2 linked regions of the Bombyx mori genome follow. The protein of the gene in region 1 purifies or fractionates together with the protein of each later gene. This does not show direct contact. Links are inferred from orthologs where the notes say so. Each region holds a gene or a part of one and is shown in the gene's direction. Other genes may lie near its edges.

The links.
Region 2: the proteins of synaptobrevin homolog YKT6 (region 1) and syntaxin 5A purify together in Homo sapiens (affinity purification with mass spectrometry; 3 studies listed by BioGRID and IntAct, with this or other methods). This does not show direct contact. The link is inferred for Bombyx mori from reciprocal best matches to the Homo sapiens genes YKT6 and STX5.

The regions. Positions count from the first base shown.
Region 1 is NC_085124.1:7,751,439-7,762,754, forward strand, and holds synaptobrevin homolog YKT6, read left to right. Parts: upstream 1-5,745; 5' UTR 5,746-5,980; intron 5,981-6,087; 5' UTR 6,088-6,117; coding exon 6,118-6,714; 3' UTR 6,715-9,579; downstream 9,580-11,316. Other genes in the region: transcription initiation factor TFIID subunit 8, read left to right, coding at 212-346, 918-1,036; proteasome subunit beta type-2, read right to left, coding at 3,700-3,854, 3,966-4,128, 4,376-4,569, 4,772-4,877. UniProt on the Homo sapiens protein: Vesicular soluble NSF attachment protein receptor (v-SNARE) mediating vesicle docking and fusion to a specific acceptor cellular compartment. Functions in endoplasmic reticulum to Golgi transport; as part of a SNARE complex composed of GOSR1, GOSR2 and STX5.
Region 2 is NC_085118.1:10,681,326-10,690,714, reverse strand, and holds the end of syntaxin 5A, read left to right. Parts: 5' UTR 1-16; coding exon 17-41; intron 42-1,390; coding exon 1,391-1,542; intron 1,543-1,713; exon of another isoform or gene 1,714-1,925; coding exon of another isoform or gene 1,926-1,931; exon of another isoform or gene 1,932-1,965; intron 1,966-2,152; coding exon 2,153-2,579; intron 2,580-3,227; coding exon 3,228-3,436; intron 3,437-5,641; coding exon 5,642-6,100; 3' UTR 6,101-6,125; downstream 6,126-9,389. Other genes in the region: barrier-to-autointegration factor B, read right to left, coding at 7,210-7,356, 8,192-8,317. UniProt on the Homo sapiens protein: Mediates endoplasmic reticulum to Golgi transport.

The DNA.
Region 1 (11,316 bases):
AGATTTTGGTAACCACTTAACACTAGGGGGCCTTGTACTTTATATAGTAGAAAACAGTATTTTATGAAGAATTTTAGTAGAAGTTCTTTTATTTCATAATTGTGAGTATGGTATCACCTTAAACTGAAGCTGAAATGTATAAAAAAAATTAAAATCTATATTGAAGTTAATCAAAATCTATACATAATGTGATTAATCTCACATGTTTCAGTAATCGCCTGTAAGCCTACGTTTCCAGCTTATTTGCCCTGTCTTTTACCAACGGACCAAGTCTTTGATTTTGATGAATTAGAATATCATTTTCAAGTCGCTAACAGAACTGAAGACTTGCCTGCTGATAAAAAAGGTATAATCTATATATTAATATGTGAAGCAAAAACTTTGTATCCCTTTTTACGAAAATTGCCTGGACGGAGGAGTATGAAATTTTCCACACTTATACAGAATATAGAGAAGAAGTGCACAATGCTAATATTTTTTTAAAATAATGCATAAAAGATACATTAAATCAATAAAGAAAACATTACACACACTACATAATAATATCATGTATTTGACGCACTGCATACTATTTATTGTCAAACTTTTGTTCTTGACGTCTGTGGTCAAATTGAGAATAGATTAAATATTGTTTGTCTTTATAATTTTTTTTTATAGTGTAACCTTGGCGAAATTTGTGATTATAGAAGTATAAAATACAATCATAATATTGTACAAACATACAATTCCAATTAATTATAGTCGAATTTCGACTACTGCGGGACCTCTAGTAAAACATTAAATTACAATCCAGTGTGTAAAATATGCTCGGCCCAATAGTCACAAGTTTGAAGTATTCTCAAATTGAATTTGTTGTTTATAATTAGTTTGAATTTATAGTGGATTTAGAACTTTATATAATCTATATCCTTTTTCAGATCAATCAGACAATGAAGGCGAAAATGGCGCTGACAATGATAATGCAAATATTTCACAATCTGAAAATCAAGAAAGTGCATTAACATCCAGTCCAGAGAGAAATAAATCTGGTGGATAGATTAATTATTTAGATAGTAATTTAAATTTGTTTTAAAATTCAAGTATATTTGAGTCGACTAATAGCAAAGCCGGCAATGTGACTTTTGGAAAATTATTGGTAAATCAGAAAAACGAATTATTGACTTTGTATTCCATTGGCAGTCACAAAACTCTTCTGAACGACATCTTAGATAAATAACAGGTTAAGTATTAACCTTTATTTAATGCAGGTTTTGAACCGTATTCTTTGAAGGAGACGATTATATTCAAATCAATCTGTATTGACATATCAATAACATTTTTTTGTCCAAATGCACAGATTGCCACCTTTGATAATAGACGACTCATTTATAAGTACATTGATTGTTTTTTCTCTTCGTTCTTCATTAATATATGAGAATAATACCTTCGAACCGAACATACCTAAAGGATTATTATATCCATCCATAGTATTCCATAGATCATTATGGAAACAATAAGGAAACATCAACGTTGATAAATCGTAAAAAAATATTTGTGTATAAATTAAATCAGATTTTTTTTTACTAATATTTTAGTGTATATCTTTCGCATTTTAATTAGTATTTTTGATACAGTCGGGTTTTTTGTTTAGTTAATTGATTTGTTGTAGATAACGGGTTAGATAGGTAATTAAGTAGATGATCTTCGTAAACAAATATTCTAGAACAGACGCAAATATTTTTATTGCGTTAGGAGGTAGACGAGCATACACTCTGCCTAATGGGGGTGCTTACCGATACACATATATGCATCAGTAACGCATAGCTGAACCGTTGCCTGCCACATAAGATTATTTTCAAACAAAAAAAGACATATAGCGCCCGGAAAATACCGCGGAGGGAATTTCAAAGTCGACCCTACCTACTAATACTACGTGATAAAAATGATCTCTGAAAACGGATATCTGATAATTGAACGGATAAGAGTCGAGATTGTGTGGCATTCGGCAAACTACCTTTAGCAATTCCCCAGAGAACTCCCCATGGATCATGTTACAAAACAAAGAGAACCGAAGTCCCTTCGTAGTTCAAACTCCAAGGTTCTAAATTATCCATGAGAACGTGATGAGATTATCGACAATCCAACCACTTCGATAAAGCGGCACGACACGAGAACCCTCTCATCGTGGCCGCCGGTAACTACATTCCCGATCCAGCGGACAGAATGGAAAACAGTCGACGTCGCCCAAAACACGTCATCTCGGATCCTCCTGATCCACTAACGGTGCTTCTAGGTACTTCAAGCACCCGTCACCGTTCTCGTCGAACCCGTCGCTTGCGACGAAGGGCTCGACGAGTAAATTAACCCTCAGACAGAGCCCACTGAGTTTCTCGCCGGATCTTCTCAGTGGGTCGCGATTCCGATCCGGTGGTAGATTCTGCGAAGCACGACTCTTGCTAGGGTTCGTGTTAGCATCGTCAACAGGCTTGAGCCCCGTGAGCTCACCTACTAGTTAAGGTTACGCTGGAATAGCCTCTCTAGGCTACCAGCTTAGGTAGGAAAAAAAAAAAAGACAATCCAAACGGCCGTCTTTTGCAAGGAGTTAAATGAAAGCAACTAGTAGTTGGGAGACCCGCCCAGAGTTGGGAACCCTACCCCACGCTAGGTCAGACATAGACCTTACAACTTATATCTCAAGGTGGGCGGCGCATTTACGTTGTAGATGTCTATGGGCTCCAGTAACCACTTAACACCAGATGGGCTGTGAGCTCGTCCACCCATCAAAGCAACAAAAAAAAATTATCTCATTGAAATAGTAATAGATAAGACGTAATGCTATAAACATGCTTATTACGTGAGAAGCAAGAGTATGCATTACTCTCGCGCAAGTTTTATTTTTACAGTATTCGTGCAAATTCTAAATTGCGGCGACATGACAAATATTCTTTCAATGAATTTTTAAAGGTCACTAAATTGAATTCATCTCATTTAGATATTCGCCTTAAAAGTTCTCGATGGATCGCATGACATTGATATGCAGGATGAAAAGCGTGGGGGAGACTGCAGTGCACTTAATGGAACACCCGTGTTAAAAGTCCTGGCATCGGAACAGCAATTGGCTTTTTTCAGTTCCTTGGAGATTCTGGAGAATGGTACACACAAAGGATGCCCACTGAACAGCCATGACTTTAATCATGACATCAGCTGCCAATCTCCAACGTAATGTAGGAGTCTGGTGCTAAGAACCTGCTCTATCATATTGGAAGATAAAGAAGTTATCAAGAGTAGTCTGTAACTATCCTAAAGGTTCTGACCCACGCTGCTTGGATCTCTACCCATGTCTACCCACATGAGTAGTAAATTTTTTTTATTGCCATGGTGGGCAGTTGAGTTTACGAACCACTTGGTGGTAAGTTGCTGATAGTCTGGCACTCAGGTGCACCATCAAACAGCTGCTACCTAAAGTAGTAATTATCTCTTAGGCTACTACTAAGAGAAAATATTCTACTTCTTAAAATATAACAACACAATTTTGAAATACATATAAGCCTATTATTATAATTAAGCCATAGTAATTACCAGTTAGAAAAAACAACCATCAAAGATATACCAGCTTGCAGTATGAATAATATTATGATGTTAAATGAATTTGATCACTAGTCATCTTACTCATAAAATTTATTCATTTAAAAGTTTATTTTCCATACAAAAAAGTGAAAATTATTGAAGAGATGCAGAATTAATGGTGGGCAGCACTTTAATCCCATCACGGTTTACAACAGTCACTTGGAAATTGGGGAGACTAACAAACAATCTTTTGTGAACTTCTTGAACACACTTCTTAAGGATGTCATATGCCTCTGTTTCTGTAGCATCTGAAATGAATAATGTTTTTATTTTGAGTTGCCACTTGATTAATACATTATTAAATTTATAAAATATTTTTACAGATGTTGAAATATAAACAAATATTATTAACTACTAACCTTTTTTATGGTAACGATCCATAATACTCAAACTTAGATATCCACCATAACCATGAGCTGCAAATGGTACCTTCACGCTTGATGCTAAATAGTCCATAAAATACAGTTCAGGTCCATTTTCTTTATCATAACCACCCATGAGCACATTTACAAAGTAGGGAGTCTGTAATTTTTTAGAATAAATATTGAAACTTCTCAACAGTACAAAAATTTTCAACTAATAGTTAATTCTATAGGTACAATAATTGATTAAGAATCAAGATTTTTTGTGGAGAATGTTCATCGTCATCATCAACGCACAATCGTCCACTGCTCGACACAGATCTCAATTCATACCACTGAGTCTTCAGCTCTCCGAAAAATAATAACTGTCATGAATCAATCATAATAGAAATAAAAACACAACTTACACTGCTCCTAAGATACTCTGCGAGATTACGACGTGTGAAACTGGCTGCAGCTGAGGGCCCCAATTCATACCCATTACGCATTTTATACAACTGAATATTTTTTGCAATATATTCAGCAAATTGATTTGTGTCTCCTGAGTCACCAATGACACCCATTACTAATCTATCAGATATCTTATAGATCTTTTCTTCATCTGTAAAATAGAATAAAAACTTTGATTATATAGTATAGTTTATTTGAAAAATTGGTATTAGAAGTTAGATTCCATTAGTACAAATAAAATGCCAAAAAGCAACCTAACAAGTTTACTTGAACCGTTTTTAGATCTGTTTTTATTTATAAAACTAATTTGATCTGAAAATACAGAGGATTCTGTTACAAATTTGCAAACTCACCGTCTTTCATGATCATAATGCTGTGGCTGTTGCTCTGATCGGCTGCTATCATAACAAAGTCGTTGCACTGTATTCCTAAGAGACATTGTAAGTTTATATTTGACATTTTGCAGTCGTATTACTTAATTAGCTTTCACTGCAAATAGTCTTTTCAAGATAGAGATACTTCAATCAATTGAACTGAATTATTTACTTAATTAACTTAGCTATTCTGCCTGTGCGGCCTTAAATTTCATAAATTGTCAAATCACTTTCAGTGTTGTCAGTGTTGAGAGTGTTGCGTGCATACCTTGGTATTGGTAGTAATTCATGGTTTCGGTTTTTTGGAGAAAAGTTGGAGCTATATTTCGTTTACCTATGTGATAGGAATTAATAAGTAGTTAAAATACAAAAAAGAAAGTGCACTAATGTGGGAAAATGAAACAAAGCTGCTGGACGTCACTTCTCGGGATCCTCCAAAAAGTCTCAGTAGATGACCACCATTTTATTAAGATTATATTTCATCCCATATCATCTCATCTCATTTCATTTGATTTCATACCAGTTGATTAATGTCTCGAATTAATAATCTTCATTTCATTTCATCATTTTTCATATAAATAAGAAAATAAATTAAAATAAAACATGACTTAAAGGTCTCTGGCGTTAATGAACGCACATTTTTATGATGCGTAAGCCGGAACGCACGAGATGTGGGAAAAAGAATATAGTCTGTGACACGGGACCTTTTTACCGCCAAATATTTAAAACGACAAATAATTTATAATGTGTTTAATAACTAATGTAATATAATTACTTAGAATTGTTTATGCCGCTACAACAATAAAATTTATATTGTTTCAACTGTGGTGTTAATTACATAAAACACGACTACGGCGAAATAAAGAAGGGACTCTATATGAGCTCCCTTAGGTCTTAGTTACCAGGTCATAAAATCCCTTAAAAAAATTCTTAATAATCTGTGAAAGAGATATTCTCATGACGTAGGCATTAAGACATTTATGACAAATAACCAAGGCCAAATAGTAAAAAATCACTTTTTACGATTTCACGAAGAAAAATTATCTTACAAATGTATTAAAATAATTTTAAGACTTTTGTCTGATTTCGGGTAATCTAATATTGTAGCACGTCCAAGATTGTACAAACGTAAAATTCATTCAGAAGGCTCATTTACGACGAATTAAACGACGAGCTATTGAATCTTGGGTAATATATTTTTTCTTTTATTTTGAATTCTTCTAATATATTTCTTAAAATTCAGACTTTTCATTATTTTTGTAGTTTTTCTGTATTAAAACTGTTTTAATTTTCAGAGACCGAGCGATAAAAATTATCTAACAAAAATGGTGAAAGTTTATGCACTACTTGTATTGTACAAAGGGATTAATAATGCATCCATTCTGAAAGGTGCTTATGATCTTCGGAGTTTTAGTTATTTTCAAAGAAGTTCAGTGCAAGAATTTATGACTTTTGTTAGTAAAACTATGGTAGAGAGGACACATCCAGCATCAAGGCAATCAGTTAAGGAAGGAGAGTATATGTTGCAAGTGTATGTGCGTGCAGATAATTTAGCTGGAGTATTGATATCCGATCACGAGTATCCTAACAGAGTAGCACACACTTTGATCACTAAAACTCTTGATGAGTTTACAGCTGCAGTTCCATCAAGCACTTGGGCTACGGGTAAAGAATCAACAATTGATTTTCCATCATTGGCTTTACATTTAGAAAAATACCAAAATCCCAAAGAAGCTGATGCATTGACGAAAATTCAAAATGATCTGGATGAAACGAAAATTATTTTACATGATACAATAAAAGCTGTACTTGAGAGAGGTGAGAAGTTAGATGATTTGGTTGCTAAGTCAGACAGCCTGTCGATGCACAGTAAAGCATTTTATAAGACTGCGGCAAAAACTAACAGTTGTTGTAATTTTTGAACAGTATATTATTATGATTAACTGTTAACAAAAATGGCCATAACTATTGTAGTATTGTTGATAGTTGCTGAATGCTATGTACTATTTAAAAAAATTATATGAGGTTTGATATAGCTTTTAGGGATTATAAAATATAATTGTATCTCTGATTAATCTGTAACCTGTCACTAAGAGAGTGGCAACTAGCCACAAATACTAAAACCAATTTTAGCAAAGGCTTGAAGAATTATCCTGACCCATCGAATTAAAAGTTCAAACAAATATTGAATCATCATCTTTTCCTTAAGAAATTTCCTTTTATGTTTGTCTGGAAGTTTGTTTCCTAAAATTTAAAAATTTTAGAGGGATAATTTATTTTATTACCTCTTGAGATTACGTTTGTGTTGTAAATTATGATTGTAACTCTAAATCATACAATTATGGCTAAGAGCCAAGAAAAAAAAAAATTAGTTGAAGACTTTTGGGTTTGTTAGAATTGGAGAGCAACATAATTATTAACATTACAACATTATTATTTATATTATTGAGTAATTTAAGAGCAGTGAGTTTAATGTTTAAACTACAAATGGGTCATCATGTCATACTAATTAAAATTGATTATTCCAAAGTAGTATAGTATATCATGAAAATAACTCTAAGGTACCAAGTGTACATATGTTGTAACTTGTTATTCTGTTGCAGATTACTGTAGTATACTTGAATTCTTAACTAATTAAATTTTTGGTCTTAATTGCAATTGTTAAACAAGTCCAGATGCAGACATTTTGAATTATTTTCATCATCACAATGAATGTCGACTTACAGTATTGGTCTAAGGTCTAATAAATGGGTTAAGGATCGTGTGATTTCATTGCAATAATGTACAAAAAACCATGCACAAAACATTTGCAATAACAGCTTAGAAAAGAAAGATTGTGAAAGTGACTTATTTCATGGTTTTTACTAAAATTTAAATGTGAGCTTTATTTAAGTGATAAATGGTTAAATAGGAATAGAAGTTTAACAATTCAGAGAAAAATGTTATAATTATGAATTATGAAGTCTTCTTATTGCATTCCTCAAAAATGATGTTGTTAAAAAATAAATATATCTATGTATGAAAAAATTATTAATGGTAATGTATAGGCCAGTTATTAAAGAAAAATTTGATCAAATGCTGCAGTTTATCAAATTCGATTATATTATACAAGTTGAAGTAGTTTGCAAAATTGATCTGAACTGTTGGGATGATGTAACAATATTCCGATAATAGCTAGCCATTAGGAGAAAATTGCCATTCAAGAGTTGAATTCGTGACATTAATTTTAACAGGCAAGAATGATCTGTTCTGCTCTTAATTAAGAAATTCGTTATCAGCAGGCTTGTTTATAGGCATATTATTTATTATGTGCAAATATAAAGACATTGCACTGAGAATGTTTAATATTTTGAAAATATTCAATTCTTCAATTGCATCACAACTGCTAAACAAGTTTGATCTAGTGAGTCTGTGACACTATTCATTCAGTCACAACCAAAGTTCATTCATAACCCTTGCAGAGGTGTCGGTCATAATCACACGTTTAGGATTACACATGGTGGATGCATTACATACAGTGCCTGAAACAAATTCTGTATAATGCAATGGGATAAAATCGTGATGATCATGTTTGCTTCCATTGCCATCTTTATAGCAATATATAGATATTGTCAAAGGCATGGGAGCCTGTTTGTAGCTAGCATTTGGTATTAAAATAATAGTAAAGAACAGGAACAAATGTAACTATAGTATCATATTTACCATCTATAAACAATTGAAAATCATTTAGTATTGGCGTCAGTTGCCTGAATGGCAACATGAAGACGTGATATTTTTGTGCTCATACTCATGAATCTTTTATATTGCTTTTTCGTTAACATGTTGAACGCCACATGAAAAATCGACTATTTTCATTCAGGCCATGATGCTCACCGGTGAGCCTTTTACTGGTGATAGCACGTCTTGTGAGTCTGCACTGGTATGTACCATCGTCCTGCCTATATCTTCCACCCATCTAAGCAATAAAAAAAAGCCTTATCGTAGTGAAACGTTCGGCCATGAGGCTCGCCCGGGAGTCACGCGAGGGTTCCAACGTAAACGCTTCCTACACACAAATTGCAGCTATCAAACAAAACGCGTATGAAAGTGAGCCGCGTGGCCCTTTAACCAAACCGAACGCCTTGGTTTTCAAATCCCATAGAAAGTTGGTTCTTATCAAGATTATTTATTGCCTTTTAAAATATCTTAAAAACTAGCCTGTAAAATTCGCTAATTTTCACCATCCGTGCAAATTATCGCATTTTATATATTTTAGAATTCAAATCTAGTTGTTAAAAATTACTGATTCCCTGATTTTGGCTTGGCCTGAATGGTATAGTAAGTACGCTAGGCCCTTAAGTGGGCCGCATGGCATTCAAGGTGTTAATGAAGAAAAAAAAGAGAAAAACAGTTACATTTTATTTTTATCATTATAAATGTAAACAAGCCTTAGGATATGTTAAAAGTTAATGAAACCTATGAAATATGTATGTAATTTGAAAATTATGAAATGTAAAGAAACGCTGATGTGAATAGGGAAATTCCCTTTTTTGGTGTTAAGGCTTAACAGTTAAGCAGAAAAAGATCTATATTTAATGTACTAATCTAAATCGAACATATTGTACCTTCAATAGTATATTATATTTATCTGCAATGTAGGTTAAAACATACTTTATTTTGGGTGATAATTTTATTACATTACCAAATAAATAATTAGAATGTTAAAGAACGATGTGTATGTGTTGAAGAGTCGGATTCCAATTGTATATCCATTATTGTAACTAAATATAGTCGAATGTTTGCTGTTATCTTTATGTTTTTATTCTGTTCATTACCTTTATTCCAAAAAGTTGTGTTTCCGCCCCTACTAATAAAGGTAGTGTAACATTAAAATCATTTATTGTGTTTCTAAGAATATGAATTAAGCAAAGAGAGAATACAAAAAGTTAATACAGATGTGCATTGCCTATACAAATACTTGGATGGCGAAAAAGTGTCAATCTCATAAAGATATGAGATTTTTTGTCAACACCTAAAAGGTGAGACCCGGTGTATTGTTATCAAGCGATGCCACTGTCGTATTCAAGATTAGGCGATGCTACTAACAAAGGGAAGTACTGATTTTTTTTAGGATTTTTTTTTCATAATGGCGGACTCCATATTTTGACTCCAATTGCAAATAAATTATCTTTTTTTATGAATGAGGCCTTTACCTTTTTATCAGGACAGGTGCGCGAGCATAGTCTCGGTCAGGAGGGGTGCACAGCAGCCAAAGCGCCTCCAAAGCAGACCTAACAACTCAAGAGCAGTTGCTTCGCGAAGGTCCCACAGAAAATCCAGCGAGAAACTCAGCGGGCTGTTTCAGTTAGGTTGCACGTCGGACCCTTTGCCGAGTTCGATGAGCACTTACCGGGGTCCCTAAACCTGCTCCTAGTGTTAGAGCTGAAGACGTCTAATGCAAGAGTTCTTGGATCTAATGGATCCGTAAGGACGTGCTTAGGGCGTCGACGGTGACTTGCTTCTGCGTGATCAGGATTCGGGGTGTAGTCAGAGGCGGCGTCAGCATTATCATGACGCATTGTAACAAGATTTCAAACACGGCGTGTCGTGACCGAAATGATAAAAAGATTCAAGGTGTAATTCGATTAAACGATACGACTATGGCAATGTTCGAAGAACGTAAACAGCAGTTTTTTTTAATGCAATGCTGACCTTACACTGGTTTATAAAACACTTCCGTGGTGGGATAACGTGTAAACATGTAAAATAGAAATCGACACGAATTGTATAATTACTGAGACGTGATGGGCCCGCGCTGGTAGATTAACTTAATTTTGATTGTTTTTATTTTACAAATTGTTAATTTGTTTATGTAGCAAGTCCAAGAGTTTTTACTGGTGGTAGGACCTCTTGTGAGTCCGCGCGGGTGGGTACCACCATCCTGCCTATTTCTGCCGTGAAGCAGTAATGCGTTTCGGTTTGAAGGGTGGGGCAGTCGTTGTTTACTGGTGGTAGGACCTCTTGTGAGTCCGCACGGGTGGGTACCACCACCCTGCCTATTTCTGCCGTGAAGCAGTAATGCGTTTCGGTTTGAAGGGTGGGGCAGCCGTTGTAACAACACTTGAGACCTTAGAACTTATATCTCAAGGTGGGTGGCGTATTTACGTTGTGGATGTCTATGGGCTCCAGTAACCACTTAACACCAGGTGGGCTGTGAGCTCGTCCAACCACCTAACCAATAAAAAAACTTCAGAGGTGTCAAGGGACACCCGGATGGAACGAAGTTCCTTTCGATTAATTAGTGAAGGAATTGTAATTTTTTTTTAAAGTTATTGTAATAAATTACGGCATTATGAAGAAGAAAAAAACAATACTATGAACTAAATGACTATTGTTGAAACGCTATCTCGAGAAACTGTACTCATTACGCGGACCAATCGGATACGAGCAATGTCACGCGATAAGCGCCTACACGTTGATTGGTCAGAATGACGGATCTAAAAAGTGTCGTGACAACTTTTCGTAAGAATTTTTTCCGTCTAGCC
Region 2 (9,389 bases), on another chromosome or scaffold:
TGTGACGGTGCGTGGAATGAACCGTGATCAAGCAAATGCTGGTAAGCATTTACCACGGTTCGCACATTTGGCTGTCGGGCGTTCGGGTACTCTTCCCTGTACATACGTACAGCTGCACTCGCGTTCGGGTATTCTTCCCTGTACATACGTACAGCTGCACTCGCATTTTCTCCACTCAAAAAGTACCCACGAAGCATAGCTACATACTCCCGTGATGTGAACTGATAAGCCATCGCATCAGGGAAAACTTAAACAAACAACTGTTGCAACGAAAAAAAGCATGCGCACACTTCCGCTAACAATTTAGTAGTGTTTAGGTTTTTGTCGTTATTGTTGAGTTGAGTTGACTTGAGTTTCCTGGAATTTATCAATGGAGCAGCGCCCCGTAGATACTAAAACCCTGCCGCACGTACTTTCGGTCATTGATTTAGTTATTTAGCATTTACCAATTATTACGTATTTTTATGGACAGTTCTGAGACTTCGTGTTTTTTTTATTTTTAACTACCATATAATATGATTAGTTAAAGATACTTAGAGCCCAGTTAATTTTTTTGTACTAATTTAAAAATAGTGGTGTATAGTTATAGGACCACGCGCCTGTTATGACAACAAATTTACTGAACATATAATTACGGTAACATTAAGGTTATTATGAGAATTAAATAACTCGCTTTTGGCCCCAAATTTAAAAACGACCCATTGATCATCACACGATATAATCTTTTGATACACACACACATGTTCGTTGGTGTCACTTCTTCGTCATTTAATTTAAATAGTTGGAAGTGAAGAGATCGACCTTCTCTATAGAAACATAAACACATTGTCATTAGTCTGCCAAAAATTGCTAAGACAAACAACTAGGTATACCCACATCAATTCTAACGAAGTGGTACAACAGTTAAATTAATATGCTTTTTGAGATTACATTGAAATGGCTGTTCCAGATGTTTGTATTGTGAAAATTTTGTTGAATATGTTTCAAATGACAGATGAAATTATTATTTTATTTCTATAGAATTTTTACGGCAACAATTTGTTGGCATGAAGAGAAACTAAAATCCATAAAAAGATGAAAATGAAACAGGACTGTAACCCAAAGAGTAAAAAAAGTAGATCTGAGATAAAAAAAAAATTAATTGTATTAATGCCGGCCACTGACATGCGCGCAAATATTCGTACATTGTACGAATGTTTGCGCGCATGTAAAGGGCCGTCAAACATTCATTCGCAAACCTAGCGGCTGTGCAAATGGGTTCGCATACTCAATTTGCGAACCCGTTTGCGCTTCCTCCTACACTTGTTTACGAATGTCTCACGAATTTCTCCTCCTTTTTAATTCGTCAATAGAACATTGAAAAGAAAAAGATTTTTGAATTCTTTCCCAGACATGATTAACAGCCATGCTGTTTTTATGGGATTTCTTTTGATGAAGATACGCTACACAGTAGACGTCACGAACTATGAAAACGGCGTTACCTTCGCAATCGTCGGCGCAACTGGGCAAGCGAATGTGTGGGAGACTACGCGAAGGTTCGAGGTTCGCGCGCTTTGATGTCTGTTAAAAAACCGACACAGCTTGGAAAACCACGAATGCAGCGAAAACTTTGCATAATCATTCGCAAATGTCGTCCTACACTTGCGGGTTTGCGTATTCGTGCGCATGTGAGTGACAGAGTGAGTAATGGACAAACTAAGCCAGAATAGTCTATGACTACCCCTACGTGTTAAGTGTATTATCTATGACTACGTGTCTGGAATCTATCGAGTGATTAAAAATAAAGGATTGTGGGTAGGTACCTACATACCTTATCTAAAAAATGGAATAGTGGGACTTGATAATTTAAAAGATAGATATATCATCGAGTTTTGAAAAGAATCGATGAGATGAAATGATAAATATTGTACACACATGAATGTACTATGAAAGTACGTAATTATTTGAACGCTATTGGTTTTCTAAGTAAGTATTGGAATGTAAAATTGTGAAATACTGCCTCAATTATGTAAATTGTAAGTTTTCATTTTCAAACAAAATATCCCCAATCATTAACAAGTAAAGCATATGTGTGGTGTAACAGTACTGTTTGACTTAATGTAATTTACTTATCAAACAAAGTTGACAACGTTTTTTCTGTAAAACTTTATAGGTGAAGACTGAAGACTACAATGCGATGCTTCCTCGAAGGCGAAATATAGGCGTTACAGAAAGACTCTTGGAAACAGAAACGGATTCATACAATAAATTAGATAAGAAAGGTGTTCATTACGGGGAATCGCGGCCTTACGAGAACTCATCAAATTCCAAATCAACATTGATTCTTAAATCATCTGACCAGGACGTGTTTAAATTTTTAGAAGAATTTGTTTTTGAACCAGTTATGGCTTCAAGAGATAGAACAAGTGAATTCATTTCAACTGTACGCAGTCTCCAAGGACGTTTCTTAAACAAACCAACCGTAAGAGATGATAGAAAAGCTGCTGTGTTGGAAACTTACTCCCAATTCATGAGTATGGCAAAAGTAATTAGTAAGAATATTACTAGTACATATACCAAATTGGAAAAGTTAGCCTTGTGTAAGTATTTTAAATGATTCAGGCATAAGTCCAATATGAAGTGTTATATTCTTTTCATTTATTGCTTTTATAAAATGTTAAATAAACATTTTTTTTTAATAAGATGTAAAAGAAACGCTACATTTGCTATAAACTAGGTACAAAGAAATTGTTCTCTAAAATGAAGTTAGGTCATAGAGGTAATGATACCAATACAAACAAAAATTGCCCTACAAGATTTATATTTTATGTATGTTACTGTATATCAAATCATGAAATTCAAAATTAATATTGTGAAAAAAAATAACAAAATAACTTCTTCAGCTACCTAAATGAATGAAGTAAAATTAATTGAAGTTCAACCAATCATGTGAAATTCAAGTGAAAACATCGAACTGTTGATGGTAATATCAAATAAAAACGTTAATTACTGAGATAAATGTAGTGTATTGAGCGAAACGTCTTTTAAACCAAACAGCCTTTCACTCCTCAATATATATAAAATATAAAAAATGAATATATCAAGAATATGATAACAGTCATTTACCACTAAGTTAATCTTAGTTTACAATTTATGACAAATTAATTAAACAACATCCCTTTGTAATCAGATTATTTTACAGTTCTTATAGGAAAATTTACTTGAAATGTTTAATAATTGTGTTGCAGTGGCTAAGAGGAAATCATTATTTGATGACCGTCCCACAGAAATTCAAGAACTAACTTATATTATTAAAGGAGACTTAAATTCTTTAAATCAACAAATTGCCAGACTAGGTGAAATGCCAAGAGGTCGTCGCAGTATGCACAGTCATTCATCTAGTGTTGTACTCGCATTACAGTCACGCCTTGCTTCAATGAGTAATCAATTTAAACAGGTAATTTGTTCCTACATATAATTGGTTCCTGGATATTTAAAACTTTGTAAAAATGGTTTATGCTCTTCTGAATTAACAATACCAAGTAAACTGATATGCTTTCATAAATATGAAGCTAAATTTATAAGCATATATATAGGAGCACGTTGCTAGAGTTGGCGAGCGATTAAAGAGCTATCCCTCCGGGAGCCGTGCTTTTTGGTCGCTCGCCAAAGCTGCAGAAGGAAACTTTTGCAGGTCTAGTCTCCCACCACTGCGCAAGTCCGATGACACTCTGGCCCACAGCGCGAAAGAGAAGGCTGACCTTCTGGTCAAACTCTTCGCCTCGAACTCAACTGTGGACGACGGGGGTGCCACACCACCGAACATCCCCTGGTGTGATAGTTCCCTGCCGGAGATCTGCTTTACACAGTGTGCAGTCAGGCGGGAACTCCGACTCCTGGACGTCCATAAGTCGAGTGGGCCAGACGGCATCCCTGCAGTGGTTCTGAAAACGTGCGCCCCTGAGCTGACACCTGCGCTAACGCGTTTGTATCGCCTCTCTTATTGCGCTAACAGGGTTCCGTCTTCATGGAAGACCGCCCACGTCCACCCTATCTCCAAGAAGGGTGACCGGTCGGACCCGTCGAGCTATAGGCCTATCGCGATAACTTCCTTGCTTTCCAAGGTGATGGAGCGAATAATAAATACACAACTCCTGAAGTATCTTGAGGATCGCCAGCTGATCAGTGACCGACAGTACGGTTTCCGTCACGGTCGCTCAGCTGGCGATCTTCTTGTATACCTTACTCACAGGTGGGCTGAAGCCTTGGAGAGCAAGGGCGAGGCTCTTGCTGTGAGCCTTGATATCGCGAAGGCCTTCGACAGGGTCTGGCATAGGGCACTTCTATCGAAGCTACCATCTTACGGAATCCCCGAGGGTCTCTGCAAGTGGATCGCTAGCTTTTTGGATGGGCGGAGCATCACGGTCGTTGTAGACGGTGACTGTTCTGATACCATGACCATTAACGCTGGCGTTCCACAAGGTTCGGTGCTCTCCCCCACGCTTTTCATCCTGTATATCAATGACATGCTGTCTATTGATAGCATGCATTGCTATGCGGATGACAGCACGGGGGATGCGCGATATATCGGCCATCAGAGTCTCTCTCGGAGCGCGGTGCAAGAGAGACGATCAAAACTTGTGTCTGAAGTGGAGAACTCTCTGGGGCGAGTCTCCGAATGGGGTGAATTGAACTTGGTTCAATTCAACCCGATAAAGACACAAGTTTGCGCGTTCACTGCGAAGAAGGACCCCTTTGTCATGGCGCCGCAATTCCAAGGAGTATCCCTGCAACCTTCCGAGAGTATTGGGATACTTGGGGTCGACATTTCGAGCGATGTCCAGTTTCGGAGTCATTTGGAAGGCAAAACCAAGTTGGCGTCTAAAATGCTGGGAGTCCTCAACAGAGCAAAGCGCTACTTCACGCCTGGACAAAGACTTTTGCTTTATAAAGCACAAGTCCGGCCTCGCGTGGAGTACTGCTCCCATCTCTGGGCCGGGACTCCCAAATACCAGCTTCTTCCATTTGACTCCATACAGAGGAGAGCCGTTCGGATTGTCGACAATCCCATTCTCACGGATCGTTTGGAGCCTCTGGGTCTGCGGAGGGATTTCGGTTCCCTCTGTATTCTGTACCGTATGTTCCATGGGGAGTGCTCTGAGGAATTGTTCGAGATGATACCGGCATCTCGTTTTTACCATCGCACCGCCCGCCACCGGAGTAGAGTTCATCCATACTACCTGGAGCCACTGCGGTCATCCACAGTGCGTTTCCAGAGATCTTTTTTGCCACGTACCATCCGGCTATGGAATGAGCTCCCCTCCACGGTGTTTCCCGAGCGCTATGACATGTCCTTCTTCAAACGAGGCTTGTGGAGAGTATTAAACGGTAGGCAGCGGCTTGGCTCTGCCCCTGGCATTGCTGAAGTCCATGGGCGACGGTAACCACTCACCATCAGGTGGGCCGTATGCTCGTCTGCCTACAAGGGCAATAAAAAAAAAAAGCCCAATTTAGTTCTTTGAAATTTTACTGATCTATATTATACTGTTCCACTTTTTTTTCGTAAAAGTTCACCATATTTTAAGTTTAGCTGTTTAATTATGAACGAAATTAAAGTCAGAAAATTTTATGATGTAATGAACTTATAAATTAATGTTTGCAGGTCTTAGAAGTTCGTTCAGAAAATTTGAAGCAACAGAACAGCAGGCGTGAACAATTTTCAAGGGTGACACCGGTTGTAAAAGAGGTACCATCTCTATTGCAACAAGATGAAGTAAGCATAGATTTGGGTGAAGCTACAAGTTTACAAGCACAGCAATTTGCATTCAGAGATGATACAGACTCATATGTACAACAGAGAGCTGAAACTATGCATAACATTGAAAGCACTATTGTGGAGTTGGGAGGCATATTTCAACAATTGGCTCATATGGTAAAAGAACAAGATGAAGCTATTGGTAGAATTGATGCAAACATTCATGAGGCAGAAATGAATGTTGAAGCTGGCCACAGAGAAATATTGAAATATTTCCAAAATGTAACTGGAAATAGGGCGTTAATGTTTAAAGTTTTTGGGGTTTTAATATTCTTTTTCATATTTTTTGTGGTGTTTATGGCTTAATAAAAAATAACTATTAAAAACTTAATTATTAATTTCAATTATTTCTTTTCCAATTTAAATGGCATCCAAGGCCCACTTCTACATATATGCATGATGTAAACATTACCCTAAACTATGATAGATGAAATTAAAATATATTTGGTAATGATTTAACTTTGCACGGCCGCCCATGGATCAGTACTACTAATAAGAGCCTAGGGGCCCTGCCGCGCTTCTGATTATCGTAATGGATGCATGGATTAATTACTGTTGCACCATTGACCTTGGTATTCCATTGTAATATTATGATGAAATGTGATGTAATGATGCATGGACTAAACTGGTGATGTTATTATCCATTTACTACAAACATATACCACATATGACATTATACTGAATGTATTCCAACCAATACCAAAAAGAAGGTAGCAATTATGAACATCTACATGATTTAAAAAACATTACATTATTTACAATTGAAATATATTGTCTAAGCTTTTTAGATATGCTATAAAATAAATAACAATTGACGCACTTCTTATTTTGATCCCTTAATAATTTACTCCTGTCTCTAACATTGCAGTAAGATATTCTGTAATGATGCATTCTGCACTGAACGAATATATTTCTGCTATTCCAATGAAAGTTAATGATTTTCATTGAGATTAACTCAATGAAAATTACTGCACCCACTCAATACTGTGATGCTTATTGGCATCTAAACATTAGGTGAGTGATATCATATGGTTATGCAAATATAGGTCATAAAAATGACGCACTTCTTAGAAAAGTAGACATTCTAAGAAATAGCTTAATAAAGTAAAATAGTTGAAAAACATTATGAGAACATATATTTGATTCTTTTGCAAAATATTTGGATTACTATTTATTGTTTTATAAATAAATTCAAGTCATTGTCATAAATAACAGAAGACTTCGTGTTTTTCCAGCAAAGATTATATTTAATTACTCTTAATTGGGACTTTATTTCTTCAACATTTTTAAATATTAAATAATACAAATAATTATTGTAGAACATATATTTTACTTATGTAGTCTTAAAATTACATTATGTACATTATTTCAAACAATGCAATAATAAAATATAATAAATGTTATATGGATAAAAATTACAAAAACTCATCACACCAATCCTTCAAACACTGATAACAATCTGCTGACTGTTTAGAGTTTGCACTGCAGGCGTCCTTCATCCATTCTTGAAATAACTCTTTATCTTTCTTTAGTACCAAAAATTGACCCAAGACGACATAGGCCTGAAAATGGTAAGTGTTATTTTATGATACATAATATAGTAAATGAGAAAAATAAAAAGGGAACAAATGTAATTATATTATATACTAGCTGACCCGGCAGAATTCGTAGTGCCTCAATCGATGAATAAAATACATTCTTATTTTTATTTAATTCCGAGCATTTTCATATTTATCTACCTTTTAAACCTTCTCTGGACTTCCACAAATACTCCAAGACCAAAATTAGCCAAATCAGTCCAGCTGTTCTCAAGTTAGCGAGACTAACGAACAGCAATTCATTTATATATATAGATTTTGGTATTAAAACTGTTATCTTGCTAGTAATTTTAATGAAAATTGCATCCAAAATCTGAAGACTATGTAAGAATGAATTAATCTTGGCATTTTCACGAAACTAATACATTTCACATTAGGGTAACTAACACTAGTTTAATGCAGAAACATTACTGCTTTGTAGTTGTTCTTGATTTATCTTTTTTTAACACCTAGGTATACATGTAATTGGTCATCTTGGAGGGCAAGGAAGCTAAGCAACATTTTTTTTAAAGATTTTATTCCATAATTGATTACTGCTTAATAACAACATTCTTTATACGATTTCTATCACAATTAATCTATGCAGGATTTAATTTAACTCTTAATGAAATAGTACTGAAATTTATTCTCAAGTTTAAAACACCTGCTTAAAGATATTGCATTAAACAGTTTTCCGAGCAGTATATATATGTAAAGATCAATTTTCAATTTGATAAGATTATTTTAAAACATTTAGGATCACTTGAGCATTGATGAAACATACAAAAGCTGCACTTTTGAGATAAAATTATACTGTAACCTTATCGAAGCCCCCGGTTTCAAGTCGTTTTCCTAAAACTTCACCCACGCCCGCCAATTCTGTTACTGGTTTCTCACCCATTGGCTCAGCAACAAAGTTTCTATGTTTTTGTGATGTACTCGACATTTTCGTAAAAAACTTTGTTTATTGTACTTATAGAAAGAAACAAATTTTATATTTGTCTATCTTTACGAAGTTTATTAGTTTTTTTGTGTATTTTGTTGTCATAAACTTAATTAAGTGTACCCTGTGTACCTATCTCGAATATATTAAGTGTATAATCTATGGTACCTATGTTTATGTATTATCTATGGACTTTTTGGCGGGAACGCGAGGAGTGAAGTTGTGTGATTTGTTTTATTTTGTCTATTTAGTGTTTCTTCAGGTTTAAATGTGTAATAATGGTGGTTTATTAACTGTTTGATATCTGTGAAAGTGCACAAATGTGGGAAAATGAAACAAAGCTGCTGGACGTAACTTCTCGGGTTCCTCCAAAAAGTCCACTGAAAAAATCTCAGTAAATGACCACCATTTTACTGCGATTATATCTCATCCCATATCATCTCATTTCATTAAATTTCATCCCAGTTGATTAATGTTTCAAATTAATCATCTTCATTTCATTTCACTCCATATTATCATTTTTCATAAAATTAAGAATATAAAGTAAAATAAGACATGACTTAAAGGTCTTAGTTACCAGGTCATAAAATCTCTTAAAAAAAAATTTATTATCTATGGGACTTTTTGGCGGGAACGCGAGCAGTGAAGTTGTGTGATTTGTTTTATTTTGTCTATTTAGTGTTTCTTCAGGTTTAAATGTGTAATAACGGTGGTTTATTAACTGTTTAATATCTGTGAAAGTGCACAAATGTGGGAAAATGAAACAAAGCTGCTGGACGTAACTTCTCGGGTTCCTCCAAAAAGTCCACTGAAAAAATCTCAGTAAATGACCACCATTTTACTGCGATTATATTTCATCCCATATCATCTCATTTCATTAAATTTCATCCCAGTTGATTAATGTCTCAAATTAATCATCTTCATTTCATTTCACTCCATATTATCATTTTTCATAAAATTAAGAATATAAAGTAAAATAAGACATGACTTAAAGGTCTTAGTTACCAGGTCATAAAATCTCTTAAAAAAAAAAATGTATTATCTATGCTTTGTTATTTATTTTATTTCACGATTG